Schizosaccharomyces pombe: one gene and its partner. Each later gene encodes a partner of the first gene's protein in a complex. Each region holds a gene or a part of one and is shown in the gene's direction. Other genes may lie near its edges. The genes, in order: tti1 and tel2.

What was found.
Region 2: tti1 (region 1) and tel2 share a complex: the UniProt entries of both Schizosaccharomyces pombe proteins name them as parts of the TORC2 complex.

Annotation. Positions count from the first base shown.
Region 1 is NC_003421.2:1,420,397-1,427,605, reverse strand, and holds tti1 (TTT co-chaperone complex, armadillo-type fold subunit Tti1), read left to right. Parts: upstream 1-1,738; 5' UTR 1,739-1,759; coding exon 1,760-5,056; 3' UTR 5,057-6,460; downstream 6,461-7,209. Other genes in the region: SPOM_SPCC622.14 (GTPase-activating protein), read right to left, coding at 296-508; NADP-specific glutamate dehydrogenase Gdh1, read left to right, coding at 6,794-7,209. UniProt on the Schizosaccharomyces pombe protein: Component of the TORC1 and TORC2 complexes required for the regulation of the cellular respons to changes in available nutrients.
Region 2 is NC_003424.3:4,733,092-4,738,315, forward strand, and holds tel2 (TTT co-chaperone complex LRR repeat subunit Tel2), read left to right. Parts: upstream 1-1,729; 5' UTR 1,730-1,770; coding exon 1,771-4,377; 3' UTR 4,378-4,507; downstream 4,508-5,224. Other genes in the region: SPOM_SPAC458.02C (mRNP complex protein), read right to left, coding at 1-237, 335-508, 629-724; dli1 (meiotic dynein intermediate light chain Dli1/Dil1), read right to left, coding at 4,514-5,056, 5,098-5,192. UniProt on the Schizosaccharomyces pombe protein: Component of the TORC1 and TORC2 complexes required for the regulation of the cellular respons to changes in available nutrients. Required for normal entry into S phase. Regulates activation of the DNA replication checkpoint.

The DNA of each region.
Region 1 (7,209 bases):
CAACAAATGTGGGCTATATATGTTGTTTCAAGTCATTGATGAAATTATAGTGAGCTTGCATTTTATAACTTCAGGTGATAATCAATTGCGCGTCATGTACTTGTTTTTAACATTAAACATTATTCTTGTCAAAAAAAGGCACTAAATGACTTGGAAAAAATTCGAAATAGCGGCAAGCAAACTCGCAGATCAATAGCGCTACCCTCTCAGCCAAATGAATTATTATATATATATGTTTTTTTTTTGGTAAAATAACCAACAAACTCCAATAGCCCGTATCAATCCTGATGCTTACCTCCATCATCTTCACTTGACGTTCACTCCAATTGTCCATGGTAATACTGCGGACAAAGCTCTTTTCGACTCCCAAACCACGATGCTGTCCACTGCAATCCAAACAAATGAAGATTCCCAAATTACAAGATGCCCATTGTGGATTTGGAGCATCACAATCAAAACATTTCTTGTTTTCAGGAAGACGAGTGAGTTGGTCTAATTTATACGACATTTTTTATTAGATTATTTAAACAACCAACTCATTAATTGTAGTTTGTTCTAAGTGACTTTGAAATTTCGTTATTTTCATGTCTCACCATGGTGTGAGATTTTATGGAAGTGCGTAAGAAAACGTTAAAGATCTGGTGAAACGTATTCCAAGTATATAAAATCAAAACATGAAGGAAATAAATATGTCGTGCAGTTGAATGCATTTATGAGTTTCAACTTTTTCTTGTTTTTGATCCATACTGTTTAAAATACCAGCATCTAGTTTCTTGGAAAGCTTACGGTATTATTTTGAGCAATTTTCATATCTGTCTAAGAGTTCATTGACCTTCAAAATAAATAGATTAAAGAGATTATTCAAGTTACAATAAGTTTGGTTTAAGAAAATGCAAATTAGTTTAAACAATCCTCTCGTTTTTGAAACAAACTGATAATTCAGTGATTTTTGACTACAAATAGAAATTCAGAAATTACTGTGTTCCTCGCTTGTTAAAGGTATGTAGCAGAAAATCTCTTATGAGTTGGCTACCTCTTAAGTTGTATCGTCTTTATGAACTTAACGACTTTTTTAAGGACTATAGAGGACTAGAAGCTTGAAACTACAAAACTAGACTAGTAAAAAGGTTATACCCTTATAAATTTGAGTGAATACATCCACTACTTCCATTGCACACATTAAACCAGTCTTAGTCTGCATAGCAAAGTAATTTGAGCTACAAATTATTTATACTATATATATGTCTTTCGACACACACGTTAAAATGTTTATTAAAAAATATAAAATAATACTATCGAGTTTTTAATTCAATGTAAACAGATACGCTAAAAGGCTGAAAGGCTACGAAGTTATTATTATTGTAATTGCATAGCTTCAAAAATTCTCTCTTTAATTTAAAATTTTAGTTGAGATCAAAGTAATGGTCATCAGTAAGAACTTGAATGTAACCCTAAAACTTGCAGCTTTTTGCAATATATCTTTCCAAGTTTTTAAGAACAAAGTCAAATCATTGCAACTCATTTTGCTAAATATTTTCAATGTTTCTCACGAAAACCGACTGGGAATTGGCTGTGCATCTAGTCAAAACACTTGCTATAATTTAGCACGACATTAAATATTCAAATCATTTGAATAATATTGAATTATTTATTAGAGAATACTGTAATATCATATACATTTCCAATCGCAAAAGTATGCATTTTTAAATGGTTTGCTTGTATATGACCTACCATCTCTATAACTTCATGGTTTCTCTACATGTCTCATATACAGAGTATTTTCGCACAAATTCGAGATCCTTTTCGAAAGTTAAGCTTCTATTCTCTTCCTCTATCTTCTGAAACTTCATCTGTTGACTCCAATGGGTTAAAGAACTCGTTGAAGGATGCGTACTTTGGGCTGGAAAAAGCATTGACCAATACAGACGCCGATTTACCACTAAATTTATGCGATTACATATTTTTTCCAATTGTACCTGTACTAAAGTCCTGGTATCGTGTCCCAAGTACAGGAGTGGAGTATGCCATTCAGTGCGTGAATTTGCTTTACAAGCATGGTTGGAGGGAAGCTCATAATGAAATGTTGACGATGCAACTATTATTGATGCTTCTTAATATAGCAGATGGATGGAAATCTCCTTCGGAAACTGTGGAACAAGATTTTCGTGTTCGAGAAATTACTTTCGAAACGCTTGAGAACGTTATTACAGATTTTAAGCCTAATTTTCACGATAAAAGACAGTATCTTCTCTTTGCGAGAGCTCTTTCTAGTGCTTTGGATATTATTCCAAATAAAAATAGCTCACGGAGATTACAGTTTGCCTCATTGTGTTGCGTCCAAAAGCTAATATGCCCAAAGCAATATCGCTTACCAACAGAATTTCTTACTACTTTTCTTCCTGGCATAGTATCGGGATTGACAAAGGGACTGGCGCCAAATGGAACCTGTCAGTATTTTAAAAACGTGTGTATCTCTTTGAATATTTTAGGTGATACAGTGGTGAAAGCTATTAGTGACGATAACACAAAAGATTTGCCAGATGAAAAAGATGCTTCTTCTAATTCTCATTTTTTTGGCCCAACGAAGCGTACAAAGTCTTGGAAACGCGCTACCTGCCAACAATTAAGCAATGCCGTCAAGGCAATTCTTCACCTTCGTTCTTCACAAAACTTACATGTACAAGATGCTTTATTTGATTTTTGCTTTATCCTATTTAGAGATTGTTTAGATTCACTAAAAGATTGTAGGATTCATTTACTAGAGAGCATGCTAAAATTGATCAATAAAAAAGAAAATCCAAAATTAAGGGACTATGGGATGAACAAACTCGTTTCTCTCATTGAATCATTCAACAATATTACTATGGAATCAGTATTAACTGAATGCCTAAATGATTGGTCTACTACATGGTCTAGTGTTTCCACTTTTGCTTCAGAAGATAATAAATTGGAGGAGTTGAACCGATTGAAAAGTCTCTTAAGTATATCCAGTCATCTTCCTAAGACTTTGCAGCTCATGGAGCCTTTACTGGATGGTATACTCAGCCAACTTGTACCAAAGTCATCGGGAATTGATTCCAATTCGCAGAAGCTTTTAACATCCAGTACTTCGAATGAGTACATCCATGGTGAATTTTTTGGTGGAAATGAGATGGAAAGAACAACACAAGAGATTGTTACAAGCTTCGCAAAGGCACCTAATGTTAAATATGTTATGCAGTCCTTACTTTCTAAGGCTACCTCAGCAACAAATGAAAACTCGGTTCGTGCATTTTGGGCATTTATGGTACTTTTGAAAAGTGACGTAGAAACGGTGGACAGTTTGGAAATGTATATTGATTCATTAGAGCAATATTCATTCGAAGTATTGCAACAATTATCGCAATTAAATGTCTTTACGAAAGCATCGTTGGAGGATAAGCAGAAAAAGGAAAAGTATAATCTTTTGTGTGTTCGTTCTTGCATTGCTATTGACAGCATTAGCTGGATTTCTTCTTTACAAGGAGTAAAGTTTCGATCAAAATTAATGGCATATTTTTATCCTCTCCTTGAACATTTGGCGTTTGCTTCTCCTTATGTATCTTCGTTTGCAGAGGCATGTATTCAAGCAATTGCGACAAATTGCAACTACTCGACGCCAGCAGAGTTACTTAGAGAAAATATTGACTATGTGGTCAACTCAGTTGCCCTCAAATTGAACACATTAGACGTATCACCTCAACTTCCAATTGTGATGGCTTATGTAATAAAGAATGACGATGGAGGATGCATTCGGTACATTGGAGATGTAGTGGATGCTATTTTTGGGATTTTGGATGCTTACCATGGTTACGCACGGCTTACAGAAGGGTTGCTTGGAATTCTTTATGCCATAATAAAGCAAGAAAGTATAAATGGCGAGGAGAAAAAGCTCATCGTCGGGGTGGAGGAGGACGCAATGAACGAGGATAAAAATAAGCCATGTAAAAAGATTCGCGAATTCGTTCAACTACTATTAGAGAACCCTAATTATCCTCTTCCAAAAGATGATCATGAACTAGAGGATATGATACACGATGAACAACAAGAAACGAAAAGTGGACATGAACAGTTTCGCGAACATGCAATGAAGGAAAAAGAAAAGAAGGGCAAAGAAAATGAAAATATGGGTGAGACCACAGTTGATCATGAAAACATAAATAGTAATGTTATGGACGAACAAGGAGAAAAGCAAAAAGATGATGTCGTCGATATGGTAAGGAAAATCACGGAAAAGGCGCAGTTATTCTTATCACATGAACAAATTACGATACGAGTGGAAATGTTAAAATTGTTGAGCTATGGAAGCAATGTTTTGGCTAAGGAGCCAAACACATTTTATCCTGCTATTAATACATTTTGGCCATTGGTCGTTATTCAGCTTGACACGGATAACGAACTGCTAGTAGAATGCGCATTAGAAACTATATATCAAGTTTGCGCCCTTGCAGATGATTTTATGACATCTAGGATTCGCCAAGATTTGCTTCCACGATTGGAGACGTTGTGCCAACGTTGGCATCTTTTCAATGTTGCTCGAACATATTCTAGTGAGCATCGTTTGCAAAGGGCAATGCTAAAAGTAACTTCAGCATGTGTGGCTAACAAATTGAGCATTGTAGTGTATTTGAAGCTTATGGGGATAACGGCACCCATCATACGAGCCATTACTCACATGTCTCAAAAGTATGCGGGGGATGAATCATTGGTGGAAGAAACTTGGAACGCATTTTCCAAGCAAAATCCCGACGCAGTGTATTATGAGAGAGAAGTTCGAGGGTCTCAAATGATTGACACTTTCTCTACTGAATTGTTAATTCCGGGAAAGCAACGTGTTCAACGTACATATCGCCGAACACATGAAGTTTTGGAACCTGTCGGAGCAAAGACGTCGGAGACTGTTTTCAATGATTTGCTTGGGCAACAAGGCAGCGGGAAAACCGAGACACAAGAGGAACCACTCCCTTCTTTGGACAATTTGTTACACTTGAATCAACCGAAAAAAGGAGCTAAAAAACCATTGATTTCCATCATTTAACGATAATAAAAGTGGTTACCAGTTTTAGAATTTTCCGTGTTTTAAAAGAAAATACAAAGAGCCTAAAAATCAGGCAAAGAATTCCATTACATCGCATAAAATTATATTGGCAAAGGCTCGACTTTTTTCATCTTGGCATTATTTGATTTGACTAAGGCTGTACTCGATTCAACTTGTTTCGATTTAGATGAGCCATTTTACCTACATTCAATGAGTCAGACTCAACGAATTTAGCTAAGTTGACGAAACGAGGCTGGCAGCTACCTAAATTATACTAAAAAACAAACTCATCTTGCTACCGAGCACAACGACGATCGCACCTTGTTTCGTAGTTTCGCTAATCTTTCGAATGAACTATTTTCTATCCAATTTTAGATTCAAAGCAAACAGCCACATGATCGGGCAAGGAATAAATGGACAAACGATAGTGGGATAGTGGGTTATCAGAAGACCAAAAAATAAAGAAATTTGAAATTTTTCTAACTTACATCTACGCTACGAATTTCATGACTCTGTTTCGTTTGTCTTTTTTCTATTGAAAGCTAGTCATGACTATGGCTGCTAAGGCGCAATACGTTTGGATGAGCGAATGTTTAGTCCATACTGTAAAACCGAGGCAAGGCCGTTTACTCGAATTTTCGGATATGTATTTGCGATTTGGTCTGCCTGGAAGAACCTACCCGTTTCAGTGTGATTCGACCTATTTCAGTATTTAGCGTTTTTTTCTTTTGGTACTATCCTTAGTTATCCTTGTTATCAGTAAGGGGGCAGCAACTGAAAGGAGTAAAGAATAGACCCTTTAAATGGATGTGAGAGATTGGAACGAGATTAGATTAACAAAGGACTTGGACTTTTCCAGATTTTTTTTCTTAAAAAAATTATAGAAACTGTTAATCAACAGAAAGCGAAAATCTTCTATATTACAACATTAACCTCTCTAAAACATTTTTTTTTCATCTAAAAACATCTTTCCCCCCCCCCCAAGCACCCCATCCCACTAAGGATCTTCTATAATTCCATGGATTTTCCCGGAGGAGCTGCGTTTTCCCCACATTTTCAGTAGGGTGGGTGATAGCCGTTGCACGGACCAATCATTAAGCAATGCTTATCTTATCTTTATTTGGTTGAGCAGGAGACGAAGGAATTCTGTGAGGGGGTTGGCTTATCAGATCGGAAATTTTCCGCTTAAGTAATCTTCTTTTCCACTATCCAATTATAGAGAAAAGAGATATATAGGAGCATTGTGATTGGAGATTTTGACATCATACTTACATCCTATTCGTCTGTTATCTCCGCCATCGCTCTTCCATCAGGTTTATTGCAAGTCGTCAGCCATTAGCAAACGTATGGTCTCCCAAAAAACAAGGTATCTGGTGTGACTGTTGATTATTGCTTGTTAAGTGTATAAATATAGCAGACATGGCCAGCACGTCCCTGAATCCTCCTGCTACACTGCACTGGTACATCTGGTAAGCGTTTTGAACCCGGATCGATATCTCTTACATACTCACGTTGTAAGAGTTTTGTTGGATTGTAGTTAAATTTTGAAAGTCTTTGCGTTGAAGGCGTCGAATACGGATTTGTATAGAACTTTGGATTGTACAGCCTGTATTTGTATTGTTAAAAGTTTTCGAGGTCGCCTTTTTTTGATATCTCGAATTCTCTAAACTTATCATTATTATATAGATATACACTCTATATCACTACCTTCGATTTTGTTTACTTTTTTGGCCCACCATGAGTACCCCATACGAACCTGAATTTCAACAAGCCTACAAGGAGATTGTGGGCTCCATCGAGAGCTCCAAGCTCTTTGAAGTTCATCCCGAGTTGAAGCGTGTGCTTCCAATCATTTCCATTCCCGAACGTGTCTTAGAATTCCGCGTCACATGGGAGGACGATAAAGGTAACTGCCGTGTTAACACCGGCTACCGTGTCCAATTCAACTCGGCTTTGGGCCCCTACAAGGGTGGATTGCGTTTCCATCCTTCCGTCAACTTGAGCATCCTCAAGTTCTTGGGCTTTGAACAAATTTTCAAGAATGCCTTGACGGGCCTTCCCATGGGTGGTGGCAAAGGTGGTTCTGACTTCGACCCCAAGGGCAAATCCGACAACGAGATTCGTCGCTTCTCGCAAGCTTTCATGCGTCAGCT
Region 2 (5,224 bases), on another chromosome or scaffold:
ATCACGAAGCTCGTTAAGTTCATTTCTAATCGTATCAATACTAGTTTGAAGAGCGTTCAACTCAACGAAGCTCTTTCTAGTACGATTGCACTGAGAAATTTCACGCAGGTATTTCTTCTCATCAACAATCTTTAAAGTTCCTGAGTCAACGGCGGCTTGAAGTTGTTTAACATGTTTATCAAGCTCCACTTCTGACTTGAAAGGAACAGTTTTTTTCATGGCAGTCAACTCCTTAACCTAAAAGTATGTCAGTAAACATTTTGTTTCTTTACCAAGCTCATAAAGTTTTCCAACACAAAACTTTAGTGCTTACATATATTAATGCAAAACATACCTTCTTTTTCAAAAGTTCATCTTGAGCCTTGACTTTGTTGATGAGAGTTTGCTTAGAAGAACGGATAGCTGCTTGAGCATTGCGAATATTGTCTAATTCAGCGCGAAGTTCTGCATTCTTCTCCTGCAATGAACCACCACCGCGAATGGCACCAAGCTTCTCCTTATGCTCATTCTAGTTGATTAGTTAAGATGCGAAAACTATATAAGAAACAAGTGATTTTTTGAAGCTTTCATAGTTATGAAAAAAAAAAAAAGCTTAGCCTTCAATATTCAAGAATTTAAAACTACTTACGAAACGCTTTTTCGCCTCGTTGATCTTAGCATCAAGCTCCTCCAAAGCCTCCTTGTGAAGAGCTTCATTAGGACGAACGGGTTTATGAGATGACATTTTTATTAAGGATTTTGTTGTTGGTGGTGGATAGTGGTGTGTGTTGAGTTGTCGTTTAACGAGTATATAACAAGGCAGATAAACTCCGTTTGTTTTGCTTCCCTAGAGTTTTCGTTCGCAGTGCTGTGAAGGAGACTACCTGTTTCTGAAATTTTTATAAATAGCTTTTTGTTGACGGTTATTCAGACATCGTGTGAAGAGCAGTCTAAGGAAAAGATTACGATAATACATGTTATGATATTTTTTTTTTATTTATTTAAATAAACTGGTAGTTTTTTGCACTCGTCCACGTATTATGTTTAATATTTCAATTTAAAAATCCTGAATTGTAAATTTAGTGACCTTTATTTGCAATGTGTTGACTTGAACGAAACAAGAAAAATTAATGCATTTTTTCTCACGGATTAGCTTACCGATTAGCGGAGCATTAACATTTAATTTGGGAGGTACACAAAAACAGTTTTAAACTAAAAGTTACTTGCTTTTTAAAAGCAAATAGAAATATTGCAACTAGTCTTATAAAGCAACAGGATACTTCACTTATAGAAAGCGAATTTGAAAGCATAACTATCCATTCTTTTGTTACAACTATTGCATATAAGCACAAAATGTCTTTAAGTTAAATTATACATAATATCCTTTTTCTGTCACGTAAATTGTAAGTTCCTATTCAATTTCAGGCTGTGAAAAGTCCGTGAAAATAATACATCGAAGAGCTTTACAGGTTTCACAGAATATCCCGATGCTACCCATGTAATTGTTGCATACACCATTCTCAGGAAGTTTAAGAGCACAATTTAAAAAACTATATGAATTGAGTTCAAATTACCTTTATAGAATGAAAAACAATTAATAGAATTTAAAGTAATTTACATGGACAACAAATTAAAAATAACTATATACTTTGTAAAGAGTTTTGGTGTTGTTTTAGCCAAGCAGCCTATAATCCTGCATATTGCTGATTGCTGACCGGTGAATTAATCCACCGAAGGTTACTGTCTTCTCAACACCCCAAAATAATTCGGTTATTTTTCAACTCCAAGGATATGAAATCCTTTGCTAGCGAACTATCCAAACCTATTCAAAAGCCGCGTTTAAAAGAAATCCTTAAAGAACTGCAGCATATAGGTGTTCCTTCTCCTTGCAATCTAAGATTATATCATGAGTTAATTAGTGTGATAGTGCCCACATTCTGGAATGGGAAAATTAATTCAGAAATAGATTTTCTCCTTGCAAAATGTTTTTCTACTCTTTTGGGCTTAAAACTGCTATGTGTTCGACTAGATAATTTTGTTCAAGAGGCTAATTTGCAAAACATTCATCTTGTTACAGTTTATCTTGAGCTACTGGAAAAAGCATTTGAATGTATAGACCTTGACGATAACTGTAAATTGATATGGGAATCTACTGTATTATCTGATCATCAAAAGCAATCTTTGTGGACTGAATTTATTTTTTTCTTGGGAAACTTTAAAATTACTAATTCAATGTCTGCTGCAATGCTTACCTTCAAGGTTTACGATGATTCAAAACGTTTGAAGGCTTCATCAATGGCCGACTACATTGGCGTTTTATCTTCAAAATTGGCTTGCATTATATCTAAACCTGCTGTTAAAACCCCAGAAATATATTCAAAGCTATTCCATTATTTATTACACTCATCCAATTTAAAGGCATTCATTAACCCATTGATTCCATTAACACAAAAATTTTGTGTTCAGCTACAAAAATTATTTGCAGATTTGACGGTCTCTGATCAAATGTTGTTTCTCAATCAACTTCTTCTTGAACATAATACCAAATATCCCACCAATTTTTCATATTCCACCGCAAGAGATGATCGTATAACAGGTTCATTGGCTACATTATTAAGGCTGAACTTTTCATCCACTCACTTCCTTCGATTAATTGAATTTTATTGGGGCGTCCCTACAAATTTAATAATTAAAAGGGTAGAAGTAGTTTGTTCGAGTATATCTTATAAGGAATCTGATAAAAAGGAGCTAGAAAAAACAGTGGACTCTCTGTTTAATATATGGTCAAATGCGCAATTTTTGAGGAGCTATACGCTGCTAGCTCAAGAGAGCTTAACAATATATTTATTACTATTTATTCCGAAACTTGAAGCAAAATATTTGAATAATCTTTCCAAATCCCTAATGTTCTCCAATGCAATATCTTGCCGTTTAGATAGTCTAGATGATGATATTCGAATGCATGGAATGATAATGGCCGAAGTAATCTCTACATATTCGGGTGTCAGCTTAAGTAACCCGTTAGCCTTTGACGTTCCAATAATGAAGACTACGAAAGCAAAAGTTCTCAAATCGTTGAGCTCACTCAAGGATGAATTTTTGCCTATTGAAATTTTGAATGACGAAAGTGTTATCGCAGAGACTTCGATAGAAAAGGAAGAGACGAATGTAACTCACTTGGAGAAGCCAGTGATTTCTAAAAACGATGACTTAATAAGGGGAGATGACTTGGAGCCTTACGATTTTCCTGATATTGACAGTGAGGACACGGACGACGATCCAACTGTCTCTAGATCCAAGACGCATTCTCCTGTGTACGTACAAGATTTGTGCAAAATGTTAAAAGACACAGAAAGTTTTGAGAAACAACGTGTTGCACTGGAAAACGCTTCTAAGTTAATAAAACGAAAGTCTGCTTTTGGAACCGAATTACGAGATCATGCAGATGAATTGTTACAAACGTTAATTTCCTTACAAAATCGATTTGACTTAATGAACTTTGATGAAATGCAAATGACTGCTATAGTGGAACTTCTGTTAACCTGTTTAGATATATGTGGTCCTGTTATTTGTACAAATTTATTTGTTAGTGACTATTCAATGCGCCAAAAAATACTTATCTTATCTTGTATTTCTTTAGCTGCTAGCAAATTCAACGATGATGATAATGAACGTCTTTTTCCCAGCCAGTTACTTCCAGGAAATTTACACGATCAGTTTTATTCACCCACTATTGAAAAGATTAGTGATGAATTAGAAAGGAAATTAGTTTTTCCGGTAATGAGTGAATGCAAGGATTATGCGGAGGGACCGAAATTCTTACAGACACGGTATATTTCAAAGCAGTCGGAAATCGAGTCGAAAAAGCCACTCCCAAAGGCCAATCGATTATCGCTTAAGGTAGATAAATCATTGTTCCTGCTCCTCACCAGTGGTTATATGCTGGCATCTAGGAAAACGGCTTTTATTGAGCCTTTGTTTTTAGTCTACTATCTTAAGACATTGGGTATTCTCTTTTTTGAAACTTTTACCTCAAAGATAGAAGGGGCAAACAGAATGCTCCGGGAATATGTTGACGTTTTAAATGAGGTCTGCCGACTTCGATCAGACACTCCAGAAGTTAATGAAGGGCTTTTGTTTAGTTTTTTGGCTATCTTAGAAATATCTTCTGGGCGTACTTTAGCTAATGAGTTTGGGAAGCATTTGCTCTTCTTTGAGGCGTATACTAAGTTTCTTTTTGAAAGCCCTGATCAAGGTGAGAAAGTTAAGTCACTCTCAGCAGCTGTTTTAATTCTATTTGAAAATAAACTTTCAGAATTCAGAACGCTCGCATTGGAAAAATTACTGGATGACTCAGCTCCTTTGGTTCCAGAGCGATTTGGATTAGCCGGACTTTAATAGTTCTTTATGGTCATGATTTAAAAGAAAAAAAATATTATTTATGAGGTTGAAATTTTGACAGAAACTCATTAATGCATTTTAATTAAATAATATGATTTTGTAATAATAATGAATGTCTTTAGGCCAATTACAATTATTGAATTAAGTCCTTCCACAAACTTGATTTTATGGAGGATTTATTTAATTTGTTTGAAGAATACGTTTTAATCTCGCTATACTTGTTCTGTAGTTCTTGCAAAAAAACTTGGTGCGATTTGTAGGGTATATCTCCATCCGATATTTTTGAGGAATGACAGTTCAACATCGATATACTCTTATCAAATAAACCAAGTAATAAACTTATGTCAAGAGTATCGTAAAAATTTTTAGCGGTTTGTTTAAAAAGGGCGATATTAAATTCATGATTGACACTCTGTATTTTAGAGATAGTGTCCCAACAAGGAGGTATAAACATAGTTTCTGATTGAATTGTTTGAGCATGAAAATCTCGAGGTTTAAACTTTTGAAACATAAAATTATACTTCATTAAAACGTTGAGATTATTCCAGCTTGTTGGGTCCGCTGAGATAGAAACAATTGAGGACGTTGGTACGGATAAAAGTGTCGTTCGCAAAAACTGTAAAATAAATTCCTGTGAATTATCGACTGAGGTATGCAAGCCTAAAGCATGCTTCAACTACAAATTAGTAAATGTGCAAGTATTCAAGGGTATCTTACCTGTTTCAGAACAACCGTAAAGTTTAGTAGAATACCACTACTTATATCCAATGTTGTCGAGTTCTTATCCAGTAAAGCTACCAGTTTTTTGTTCTCTAAAGCAGATCAGTTAACAGGATAATTGAGT